Ovis aries: one gene and its partners. The protein of the gene in region 2 purifies or fractionates together with the protein of the main gene of each other region. This does not show direct contact. Links are inferred from orthologs where the notes say so. Each region holds a gene or a part of one and is shown on either strand. Other genes may lie near its edges.

Region 1 (4,137 bases), on a different chromosome or scaffold from region 2:
TTTAAAAAATCTTGATTCTCTGTTAAATGTGAATAGTATGTTCCCCAAAGATGTTACCATATACTGAACAATTTAATGCAAGTAAACTTCAAAAGAGCGTGTAGCACACTGCAAACATTATCAGTCTAAACTGAAAAGTTTAGACTGTGTAGGCAGCTGCATATAGGACCTTCCTACCTGGCCTCTGCTCCCCAACCCCACCCAAGTCCCCACAGTGCGCTGGTGTAGTGCTTGCTGCTATCACAAACAGCAAACAAAGCTGATGAACTCAGATGGTTAAACTTAGCCTAAAAAACATCAACTTGTGCTGAAGTTTTAAAATCTTTTAATAGTTCATTACAATGTATTTAAAAAAAAAAAACTTGGGCCTTTTAACTTTGTTGATCTACAGACAGAATTAACAGTAATTTCAAGGGAAGAAATGTGCTTAAGTTATTGCTAGCTAAGATACCTATTCAAAACAAAGCTGTTCCTACTATAATCAAGCAAATTTTATACACAACTAGTTTGGGATATGACCTTTATTGAGCTTATCCACCAGAGTGGAAATAATGTCTGTACAAAACCAAATGTTTGTTACTATAACTTCTGCATCACAATTAAAATCCAAACAGTTTTTTAAAAACAGTCAACTCAATCAAAACCCACTACTTCAGAATCAATAGCTTCTTTGAAGCCACAGTAACACTTAAATATGGTTAAGACTCAAATGCAGAAATTTGGTTGGTTGGAAAGCTAATTAAACTTCCAACTTTCTCAAATAGAATTACAAAAAGGCAAAATTGTGTTTTTCACAGAGATACAGTCCACTGGAATCACCAACACTGGACAGCTGTTAGAGTATTTAGAGTCCTGAGATAATAAGGAATCCAGGCATCCTTTAGACAGTCTTCTGTTGTCCTTTCTTTCCAATCAGAGATTTGTGGATGTGTGGAATGACACCTAGAAAAGGGATAAAATAACATACTACTTTAAAACCAAGAGTTTAATGTTCAACTTGGAAGATGTCTTTCAATGTAAGCGCAGAGTAAAAATTCAGAAGTACGTAAGAGAAATCAAATTTCATGATGCAACCATACTACAGATCAATGAAAATATACTGTGTCCTCTTTTAGACTGAAAATTACTAGAGGGAAATTTAAAAGCAAATTCTTTTCTCTAGAGAAATTTATAAGTTAATATTTACATACCACCACCAGCAATTGTAGCCTTGATGAGAGAGTCCAATTCTTCATCTCCACGAATAGCAAGTTGCAAATGACGAGGGGTAATACGCTTTACCTTCAAGTCTTTCGATGCATTTCCTGCCAATTCAAGTACCTAGAAGGCAAAATGCGATCAATCTCCTTCCAACTTTCATTAACGTCAAGATCCAGACAAGAATCAAACCTTCATGATGAAGGTATATCTACCAACTGTCATCTCCCCCACTACCTGAATGGCAAGATAAGCAAAAGCCATAAAGAGGGCACGCAATTTTATTTCCTAAGGCCGCAAAGTCAAGCTCAGGAGGATCCCCATCATGATCACCAGCCCCCTCTAGCGTTGTCGGAAGCTTCTCGCTGCGTACAGAGCCTGGGAGTTTTCTTGCATCACTTTCCTCCTTCCCTCTCGCCGCCTCCCCCCACCCCCTCCCAACCTTTTCCAGATTATAGGCGTACACCCATTTACCTCTGCGGTGAGGTACTCCAGGATGGCTGCGCTGTACACAGCGGCAGTCGCGCCCACACGTCCATGGCTAGTCGTCCTAGATTTGAGGTGTCGATGAATACGGCCCACTGGGAACTTCGTTTTTAGCATACACAAACATAAATGCACAAAGATAGACGAGCCAAAGATAATTAATTATACGCGCGCCAAAGGCAGGGTCATGGACGCCGGTGCAGCAACGCGCCCCACCACAGACACACGTGATCGCCCCCCCCCGATATTTATTGCATCGGTAAACCAAGTCGCGACACTATCACCCACGCAAAGACGAAACGCTCATCTAGAGCGATGATAAACAAGAGAGGAAAAGGAAAGAAAAACGCCACGATTCCCAGAATGCACGAACAACCACTGACCTGCAAACCGGCTCTCTGCGAGCGGGAAACCGCCTTTGTCTTGGCCTTTCCGGAGTCCTTCCCAGCCTTACCGCCAGCCTGCGGCGCGCACACGCCCGCGAGCGAAGGAGGAACGCAGAATATAGGATTACCAGAGCAGCGCGCCCTTCCCCCACCGCGCCGCGGCTCGGGCGCGAGCGCGGCCCCGTGCCCAGCCGGGGTCTCCGGCCCGCGGCGCGCCGCAAGGGCGACCCCGCCCGCCCGTCCCCCGCCGCGCGCTCGGCGCGGCCGCGCGCCTCGGTCCGCCTGCTCGCCGCCCGCCGGCCCCCAGCGGCGCTGCGCGCGCCACCCAACCGTCACCGCCCGCCGCGAGATCCGAGGCTGCTCCGCTCGCCGCCGACAAAACACCTCCCCTTGCTCTTCCAAATCCTGTCTCCGCGCGTTCCCAACCGTCGCCGCTTCACCCCCATCTCCGTGTGTAACGGGTTTTTCTCCCGCCGGCAAAAACCCGCGGAGTCTTCGAGCGTCTCCACCAAGTTTACCATTTCGAATTCTGCTGAAGCTCAAACAAGCAAAGCAGAGAAAGGACTAGTCAGACACCCAGCGAGAACCAGCCGCCTACTCCTTCGTCGCACCGCGATTCAAACTGCGCTGTCTCCCGCCTTCCCCGCTCCCTTTATACTGCAGAATGTTCCCTCATCCGGGAACTCGGATTGCTCATCCCACCAATGGCTGCCCCCCGCCCTCGGGACGCGTCCTTGAAGCTTCAGCCAATGAGAAAGCGAAGAAAAGGGCGGAGGGGCGGGCGCTTCACAGCTCGAATCCCTATTGGAGCATGCGGAAGGAGGGGGGGAGGGCGGAGGGATTGGAACTGGGGAGAAGAAGGGCACAGCGGCGGGAGGGAAGAAACAGAGCGAGCTATGCTGCGGGAGCTAGGCGAGCCCCCCCCAACCCCGCCCCGGCTGTGGTCACGTGTCCGAGAGGCGGAGTTGAGAGGCTCAGGGGAGGGGCACGCAGTATCGCGCACCCTACCATCACCCGTTCGCCTTCGTCTCCTAGCCTGATTCCAGAGACCACGTGAAGTCTCCGCGGGGTCTAGCGCGCCCCACTTCCTGCCCTCCCCTTCCAAATGAGCGCCTCGAAGGCAGAGACCCAGCAGTCCACAGCCTTCTCCCGAGGCCCGGGGTACTCTTTTCCCTGGTACCCTCAGCATCGCCCAGCTTTTTCAGTCTGACAGGTGGCGCGAACGCGTCCGGTGAGAGGAGCCCCAATTCCTTCCCTGACCACAGTCTTGATAGTGATTTCAGTCTTCTAACCCCCCTGGGCGAGTCTCGAGCCACCGACTGATCATGATCCACTGCTCCCACGTCATTTTCAGTTCTAACTCCCTCGTCTTTCCTCACCATTTTTGAATGCCTTAACCACCCCCTCCACCCCAGTGGGATACTTTCACGGGAAAAACGGTGATGAAAGCCCCCTTGCTGGTCAGAAAAGACACTTCAGTCTACCCCTAGAGGGCTTGGAGTGAGACGATATTCTTCAATCAAATCATAACCCGTGTCTTTCTGGAGATTACACATCAATGGGTTGTACCTATAGCCTGGTGTCTAAAGTTGATTTAATGAAACCTCAAAGCTATTCTGTATCAACTTTTCTATGCTAAACAGTTTGCTACATGACAAATGTTCTGTAAATGTCAGTGGGGTAACTTCTAACGTGATTCAAGGACAGTTACAGATGGTCCATGTAATCAGTTGCAAATGATGGGCTTAAAAAATAGTACTGTACACACAGCACTATCATAATGCCAGCTACATAGTCGTCCAACTAATAGATTAATAACACCTGTGTACATGTCCAGCTGCTTGAAGACAGTAATGATCTGTCTTTTATATTTATAGCATTTAATAGTGTATTACATATTAAATATATTTCTGATGTCCAAAAGTTTTAATATATGTATTCTCAAGTACTGTAGTTTGAGTTTCAGTTTGAAAGATTTTATCCAATTAGAGGACCCTTCCATAGCTGGTAGATAAGTAAGTTCCAGTGAAGGAGTTCCCAACAATTTGACAGAGAGTTTTGTTATTTT
Region 2 (4,173 bases):
ACACTGCCCTCTTCTCAGCCTCCCTACTCCTCTTGACAGATGTTCATCAGCTGTAAAGTTCACCCTCGAAGGACCCACTTGTGCTATTTTCCCATGTACCTACCCCACTATAGTATTTTTCTTTTTTAGTTTCTCCATTTTTCATGAGTTTAGAGATTTACACAACCACGGCTGCTGAACAGCGTGAGAGAGCGGCCACAACGTCCCTCCTGCTCCTTGCTGCAGGGGCAGGCCCTTTCGAGTTACCTGGCTTGAGCGTGGTTACCATCTGGGGGTAAACATAGAGTTTCTAGGAGGTTTTTGACAAGACACTGACCCTAATGCCCCCAGTACCACCGTGCAGGTCCTGCAGGCTTCCCAGCCTCCTAGGCCCTTCCCGAGGTCCCTTCAGAACTCAGGGGACTCAGTCTGCCCCCTGGGTTTTCCCTGCACAAGCTTTTGCCCCCTCTGGACCTGGGTTTCCCAAATGGAAAACGAAGGTGTTGGTATGGAGGCCCCCTGGGCTCCCCTCGGCTGTGCCTCTGTGTGGTGATGACAGCTGCCCCTGGGGGGGGCAGGACTGGGGCAGCTGCAGACACCCTCCCAAGGCTGCTACCCCGAGTGGTGTGGGGCGCTGTAGGCACTGCTCTGCCTGGCGTGCCTCTTGGAAACCAGCGCCTGCTGTTTGCCCAGGGAAACCGCCCGGGGGCCAAGCACCCCTGCTGTCAGAAGAGCTGCTGGCTGTGAGTAGATGCCAGTCTAGCCCTGAACCCTGCCCAGGCCTCCTGAGGTCTGAACATTGTAAAGTCAGGCCCCGGACGGCAACTGCCTCTCCCTCCTGCCGTCTGGTCTCCATAAACTGCATCTCAGGACAAATCTTCTCACTCACCAAGACTGCAGTTGTCTTTCTCAGTCTGAGATGTGCTGCAGGGCAAGTTGCAGAAGCTGTCTAGCCTAAGCATCTCATCAGATGCCCGAGACAAGTGCCATGGACACCAGGCTGGAGCCAGAGCTCCTCACGCTCTGCCCACCTGACACCGGGCTCCACCCAGTAAACACAAGCTTGATTTTCAAAAGTACCACCGACTCAGAGCCAGTGCTAAACCAAGCGCTTTTCCTTCCTGCCCGTTAGATCCGGTGAAGGTTTCTTTAGTTAACCTGCCAGTCACCACATGCCGCATCCGTGCCCACAGGCTGGCGAAGACCCTTCTGAGCTGCGGCACGTGGCAGGCAGTGGCGCCTCTCTCCAGTACGGCCAGCTGTCAAGAGGAGCGTTTCTGTGATAATGTGAAAGTACGTTGCATCCGGCCCCGTGTTTCATAAAAACCGGTGAGGAAAGGAAACACAGAAAGTTCTGATGCTACTGACAACATGGGTCTCCTAACTCAATACAAGTCAGACAAGCCACAGGGAGTCACAGGGACTCCCGAAAGCCTCACTGAGTGTGACCATCATGAGGCTTAATTCATTCACAGCGTATTCCATCATGAAGAGGGAAAAAAAATGGTAAAAAAGAACAAAAGAGTGAAATGCGTAAAACTGAAAACTGCTGCCAGGAGAAGCAAGCGTCGGCGGCGTTTGTGACTGCTGTAACTCCCCAAGACCCGCACTCGCCTCTCTACAAAAGGGAGGCACTGCTGCTCGGCGCTTGCACACCTGAACTGCGGATCCGTAATTTTAAAATGTGTGTGTGGACACACACGCACACGCCGGAGACTGCCAAAGGCTGAGGGACACTGGAAGAACTTCGTATACTTGGTGCACACTGCTAACCCAGCCGGCTCACAGTGCTGCAAGGTCACTGTTTAGGTAAGGATGAAGGGGTTCCGCGCTCGTTCCCTCGCACTAACTCAGAGTTAGTCCAAGATAGCCGAAGTGCCAGGTGCCTCCCATTTGCTGATGGATCTAGCTCAGGGCTGGCTGGGCCCTAGCCATCCAAAATCAAGCATCGTTCTCCCAACCTGTCTTCTCACTGATAATGGAAGATCAGAACGCCCACCCGCCCAACTCCAAGTCAAAGAGCACCAAGCGGGTGAGCCCCCGACTAAGCTCGGTGTTTCGAATCAGCGGTTTCAGGATTCCAGCTGGGGCAACGAGGGAGAGGAGGGAGCGTGCGAGGGGTCCAACTCCTCGCCCCGTGTGCAGCAAGGGATAACCCAACACCCCGTTTCTGTACGTCCGGCTGGAGTTGTGGAACTCAGCGCGGACCCGGGGCCACCGCGACCCCCGCGGCCAGGGACACGCGTGAGCGTTCCCAGACTGCGGAGCGCGGGGCGGGGCCTGCTCGACCACGCCCCGATAGACCACGCTCTCGACCCGATCCGCCCACCGCGTCCCTGCGGGACACGGGTGGGCGTGCCCAGACGGCGGGGGCGGGGCTGCTCAGCCACGCCCCAACAGGCCACGCCCCGATGCGCCAGGCCGCGCACGCGCACGCAGGCCCTCCGCGATGAATGGAGACGCGCGTTCCCGGCGCGCAGACCCGCCCCGAGGCTCCCGCGGGAACCGGGCCGACCGGGAGGCCCGGAGGGCAAGGATCGGCTACCTCAGAGCCGATCATGTAGAACTCGCCGTCGTCTTCCAGCTGGAACTTGACGGGCTTCTGCCCGAAGGTCTTGCTCAGCGCCATCATCATCATTGCGGCGGCAGACGCGGGCGGCCACGGCCGGGCTGCGAGGATCGGGAGGGCCGAGGCGGGGCCGGGGGCGCTCCTAGCCCGGGGAAGCCGACGCGGGAGGTGAAGGGCGGGCCGGGCCGGGGGCGCTCGCGCCGCCGCTGGGCTTCTCTGCCGCCGCCGCCGCAGAAGACGAGCAGGCCGCCCTCAGTGCGCAGGCGCGGGCGTTGACGCTGACGCGCGCGTCGCCGCCGCCGTCGCCGCCCTGACAAAAGGGCCGAGCGCGCCCCCGCGGGCCGCTTAAAGGAGCCTCGGCCCGTTTCTCGGCCTTCCCGGCCGCCTCCCAAGTGGAGGTACCAGGGAAGGCCGCTCACGGGCAGAAATAGCAGCCGCCGCCCTGACTCGAGCGGCGCCCTTCCCCGTCTCACAGCCGGGGCTGGCGTGCTGCCCTGGTGAGGAGGCACGAGGCGAGGCCCGGAAGGCCGGGAGGAAGCCAGAGGCTCCCTTGCCTCAGTTTCCCCGCCCAGAGGACGCTGTGCGGCTGAGCACATGGGCGGCCCAGGGACCAGTATCCCAGCTCCGGGCCAGCCCCCCGGCCCCCGTTCCTGTGGCTCTGGGGATGGGGCGGGCATGGGCTGAGACTACCGGGCTTGCAGGATTCCTAGGCCCAGCCGGCGTCTGTTTTGCCCGCTGAGAGCTGGGGAGGAGCGAACGTCCCCGTCCTCTCCTTAACTCTGTGCCCTGTGCCTCCCCCTGCCCTGGGGCGCTGGCAGCCCAGCGGGCCGACACACAGGGAGGCACCCGTGTATCCGGTGGAGCACGGCAGTAGGTCAGAAACGGCCCACTGCTGATGGCTGCCCATGTCAGCACCTGATACCTGGCAGCTATGAGAGGCGCCGCTATGAGCATCCACGTAGGGGGGTGTGTGTGTGTGTAGCGTCTGTGTGTGTAGGGTGCGTGTGTGTGTGTGTATAGGGGCGTGTGTGTGTGTAGGGGCGTGTGTGTGTGTAGGGTGTGTGTGTGTGTGTGTTTGTGTGTGTGTGACTTGCTCCGTCATGTCTTTTTGCACCCTATGGGCTGTAGCCATGGGATTCCCCAAGCAAGAATACTAGAGCGGATTGTCATTCCCTTCTCCAGGGGGTCTTCCCCACCCAGAGACTGAACCTAGGTCTCCTGCATTGCCTGGTGGCTCAGACAGTAAAGAGTCTGCCTGCTCTGCAGGAGACCTGGGTTGGGAAGATCCCCTGGAGAAGGAAATGGCAACCTTCTCTAGTACTCTTGCCTGAAAAACCCCATGGACAGAGGAGCCTGGTAGGCTACAGTCTGTGGAGTCGCAAAGAGTCGGACACGACTGAGTGGCTTCACTCACTCCTGCATTGCAGGCGGATCCTGGGCTCTCTGAGGGTGGCAGGCAAGTAGACCCCAGAGAGTGAGGAGTCGGCCACGGTAACCTTGAGTTCGGTTCTGTGTCCTGACAGTGGCAGGATCGGAAAATGTGAGCAGCGCTTGGTGGACGATGGTCTGAGAGGCCGCTGGGGAAATGGGGAGCAGACTGAAGCCACTGTAGGCCTTCAAGCAGG
Region 3 (3,994 bases), on a different chromosome or scaffold from region 2:
TTCAATCCCTGGGTTGGGAAGATCCCCGGAGAAGAGCATGACTACCCACTAGAGTATTCTGGCTTCCATGGACTGTATCGTCCATGCGGTCGCAAAGAGTTGGACACAACTGAGCAACTTTCCCTGACTTCTGATAAAATCACGAAGTCTCCATGAGTAGAACTCTAGGATGGGTCTAATTTCCAAAAAACCTTTTAAAAAGGATTTAGAATCATAAAATTTCTAAGATGTTTTAAGCAGTATTTTAAGAAAACTTTTAGGTAAACAGTAAGTGGCACAGAAAGAAAATCAAGAGACAGCTGAGGAAAAAGACCTGAAAAAAGCTGGTGACAACTACAAAAAAAAGAGAGGGAGGGAGGAAGGGAAAGGGAGAGAAAGAAAAAAAAAGGCAGGAAAAAAAAAAAGTTGGTTCTGGACATACTTTCACTGAACACTTGAATGGCCAACTCAAAGTAAAAGCTGGCAACTGGAAAAGCAGGGAAACTTGAAGGGGAGATCAGAGCTAAAGACAACCTTGGAATCAGCTTCCACAGATTACAGAGGATGGGCGGGGGGAAGATAATCCATCAGAATTACTGAACAGGAGCACACAAAGACAGATCTTCACATTTGATAGTTAAAACCCACAAAGCTAAGACATGTTATTTAAATATCTCAGAAAGGCCTCATATTGATTTTCTGGGTTTACCATAACTCATAAACTAAAATATCCTCACCTGGTTGTTGCGGTTTTCCTGCAGTGGAGAAGTAGCATCATCAGGAAAAGAGCTGACATTTCTCCTTTTCAGCATCTGGTCATCCTTCTTAGCTTTCCTTAGCTCCACATTCACTTCTATTCGGCGCCGCCTCATTTCCTTGAGAAAAGATAACGTATCATCTCACCTATTACATCAGTGTTAGGTGCCAAGTGAAGACAACTTTTTAAATTCACTCAAAGTGTGGACGCTCTTTCCAAATACCTTACCATTTAAAAAATACTAGAAAAACAACAGAAGGTACTCACTGTACTGTCTTTCCCCTTGTTCTTGAATCTGTGAAGGCGGGGAGCTGGTGAATTAGCATTCTCATTGGTGGACATGATTATGAGACAAAGGGAGAAAGCTGCAAGATAGGGGAGAGAAAAAAATTTCCTTTTTATCACTTTGTTTGGCAATAACATAGCATTAAGGGAATTATCAAATACACGTTCAATCCGTATTTCCATACTAGAGGAGGAACTTCCTTTTTCAGCACTATGGAACATGAGTTTTGGCCAAATTATATTTGGCCCCTCCCCTCTGAAGGGCTGAGGCTTCCAGGAGCAGTGCTGTCCATCAGAAATATAATGCAAGCTGTATAAATTTAAGCTTCCTAGTAGCCACGATTGTTAAAAGCAAAAAGGAACAAATGAAATTAACTTCAATAATATATTTTATTTACTCCAATATCTATTTTCTCACTTCAACACATTACATCAAAAAAATTACTGAACTATTTTGCATTCTTTTTTCATACTAATTCTTCGAGATCTTGCAGGTACTTTAAGCTTACAGCATTAACTCAGTTTAGACTAGCCACACGCCTTTGGTGACTATCACACTGCACAGCATGGCTCTAGACTCTATATAGGATCCATGAATAGTTAACTGAAGACAACGTACGGGATATAAGGTTACAGTTAAAATCTATGTCGTACGGGCCACAAATTCAGATCTGGAGGCTCTGCTGCTGCTGCTAGGTCGCTTCAGTCGTGTCCGATTCTGTGCGACCCCATAGACGGCAGCCCACCAGGCTCCCCCGTCCCTGCGATTCTCCAGGCAAGAACACTGGAGTGGGTTGCCATTTCCTTCTCCAATGCATGAAAGTGAAAGTGAAGTCGCCCAGTCATGTCCGACTCTCAGCGACCCCATGGACTGCAGCCCACCAGGCTACTCCGTCCATGGTATTTTCCAGGCAGGAGTACTGAAGTGGGGTGCCATTGCCTTCTCCGAGGCTCTACTGGCTTTAAACGGCCCAAACAGATACATTCTGCACGTTTGAAAATATTTAAAAATCTGATTCGTCGTTAACATTATGTAAACTTTCATAAAATTTCCTGCCCACCCTGAACACCTGCGACGCAGTTCAGCATCTCGCACGTTTTCATTTCCAGAAATTCTGAGTGAATGCACTAAATTAGGCTCTATCAGCTGCGTTCCACTCAAACTCACCTACTTAAGAGCAATCTCCCAAAAAAATCACAAAAGTCCTCCTTCAAAGTGGCTATCTTTAATTCCATTCTGTTCTTTTACGAAATCGTGACACAGCCAACCCAGGGCCTACAAATTAAGAGATAGCACTTCCAACTGCCACCTCCATCTGCAGTCCCCTCCCCTACCCCCTTCCCCACCCCCATTTCGGGGAAGCAGCAGCGGGAACCCGCGGAGGAGGAGCCAGAGGCGTCGGGCCCCCTACCGAGGCTTTCGTTCTCGGGCCTGACTCTAATAATTCTTACTCAAAGGCGATTGCAGCGGTTCGCAAGGCCTCGGGCACTAAAGCCCATGCACTCGCATCCACAGTGAAACACCCGTTTCGTCAACGAACTACGCCCCCAAGGCCTCATCGACCAGAGAGGCCGAAGCCTGGCCGGGCGTCTACCCCGGGACTCCCCTCCCGCCTCCAGCAATCCAAGAGCGGCCTAAGGACCAGCCTTTGTCGCTCCACCTGCACTGCGACCTCAGTTCGTTACCTACACAGCAAGCTCAAGCGTCCACCGGAGGCTGTGCGCGGCGCACAAGCTGCGGGATCTACTGCCTCCAAACGTCTACCACGGTCAGCCCGAGGACGGTGTGGCTCGTGCAGCCGGCCGGCGCGATTTAAATTTCCCGGTGGCTCCGCATTCCGATTGGCTGGTTCGAGCTTACGCTATACGCCCATTGGTGGATTTGAAAAACACGTTAGCTGGGGAGGGGTCAGAGGGCCCAGAAGTAGATAGGATAGCATCGCGAGATAAGGGAGCGGCCGCGCGATCCCTGAGAGCCTTGCAGTGCGGAGAAGAAAAACTCCAGATCCCGGCATGCAGCGCGCAGGGCCGGTTCCCTGTCCATCTTGGTCGGAGGGTCAGCTCTTTGCATGGGTTTACCGCGGTGTGGTGGCTGGTCGTTTTCCTGAGTGTTTGCCTTAACTAAGTACCACAAATGATTCCCAAAATAATTCTCTTTAAAAATCTTAATAAAGAAATATATTGCTATGCATTTTTCCCGATGGGACTCAGAAAGAACTTTGCCGGGGTCTCTGGACATCAAGCAGGGGAGGGATAAGGCAGATATGTGCTGCATTTGTTAGTTACTGTTTTTAACTTGTGTCATAAAAGACTGCATAGAAGGCAGAACTATGTTAACAAAAGCTTTATTAATGCCTGCTTCTCCAGTCTTATTTTTAATAATTTGAAATACAAAAGAACTGCAAATCTTTATCCATATTTGTTAAATGTTAATTTACTATTTTGATGTGTATGTATATATATATGTATACACACATGCACGTGTACCTCTATTTATATATACATGGCTTTTACATATTACTTTTTGAACCATTTGAGAGTAAGTTTGAGAAATCTTGTCCGTTTACCCCTAAATATTTCAGCTTGTATGTTGTAAGAATAAGGACATTCTGTTATATTACCACACCATAATCATCAAATTCAAGACAATTGAACTTATATGCGATTATTTATTCTGTGTTCAGATCATCAATTGTTATAGTAATGATCTATGCTATATTTTATATATTTCAAATAAAATGTTTGCATTTTCTTGTAATTTAAAAAAAGCTTCAGTGATAGTCATCAGAACCTCAGGATTATGGTCCACTTTCTTTTCGCAGCTTTTCTGTATCCTGAGAAGGGTATTTTTAAGAAAAGCTGTATTGGCTTTTTCTTTTTTTACTATGATTCAAACAATGAACTTTGTCCCTCCTGCAGGCATTTTTGCCAGCCTCACTCATTGTGTAACAGTAATGAGAGTCATGGAGGTTC

Evidence for each region. The genes of interacting proteins can lie anywhere in the genome.
Region 1: the proteins of SMARCB1 (region 2) and H2AZ1 purify together in Homo sapiens (affinity purification with mass spectrometry; 3 studies listed by BioGRID and IntAct, with this or other methods). This does not show direct contact. The link is inferred for Ovis aries from reciprocal best matches to the Homo sapiens genes SMARCB1 and H2AZ1.
Region 3: the proteins of SMARCB1 (region 2) and KPNA2 purify together in Homo sapiens (affinity purification with mass spectrometry; 3 studies listed by BioGRID and IntAct, with this or other methods). This does not show direct contact. The link is inferred for Ovis aries from reciprocal best matches to the Homo sapiens genes SMARCB1 and KPNA2.

What each region holds. Positions count from the first base shown.
Region 1 is NC_056059.1:25,067,499-25,071,635, reverse strand, and holds H2AZ1 (histone H2A.Z), read right to left. Parts: upstream 2,695-4,137; 5' UTR 2,591-2,694; coding exon 2,588-2,590; intron 2,145-2,587; coding exon 2,067-2,144; intron 1,786-2,066; coding exon 1,672-1,785; intron 1,321-1,671; coding exon 1,191-1,320; intron 943-1,190; coding exon 881-942; 3' UTR 510-880; downstream 1-509. UniProt on the Homo sapiens protein: Variant histone H2A which replaces conventional H2A in a subset of nucleosomes. Nucleosomes wrap and compact DNA into chromatin, limiting DNA accessibility to the cellular machineries which require DNA as a template.
Region 2 is NC_056070.1:71,287,401-71,291,573, reverse strand, and holds the start of SMARCB1 (SWI/SNF-related matrix-associated actin-dependent regulator of chromatin subfamily B member 1), read right to left. Parts: upstream 2,806-4,173; 5' UTR 2,618-2,805; coding exon 2,525-2,617; intron 1-2,524.
Region 3 is NC_056064.1:48,653,706-48,657,699, forward strand, and holds the start of KPNA2 (importin subunit alpha-1), read right to left. Parts: upstream 2,810-3,994; 5' UTR 2,708-2,809; intron 1,102-2,707; 5' UTR 1,079-1,101; coding exon 1,004-1,078; intron 855-1,003; coding exon 717-854; intron 1-716.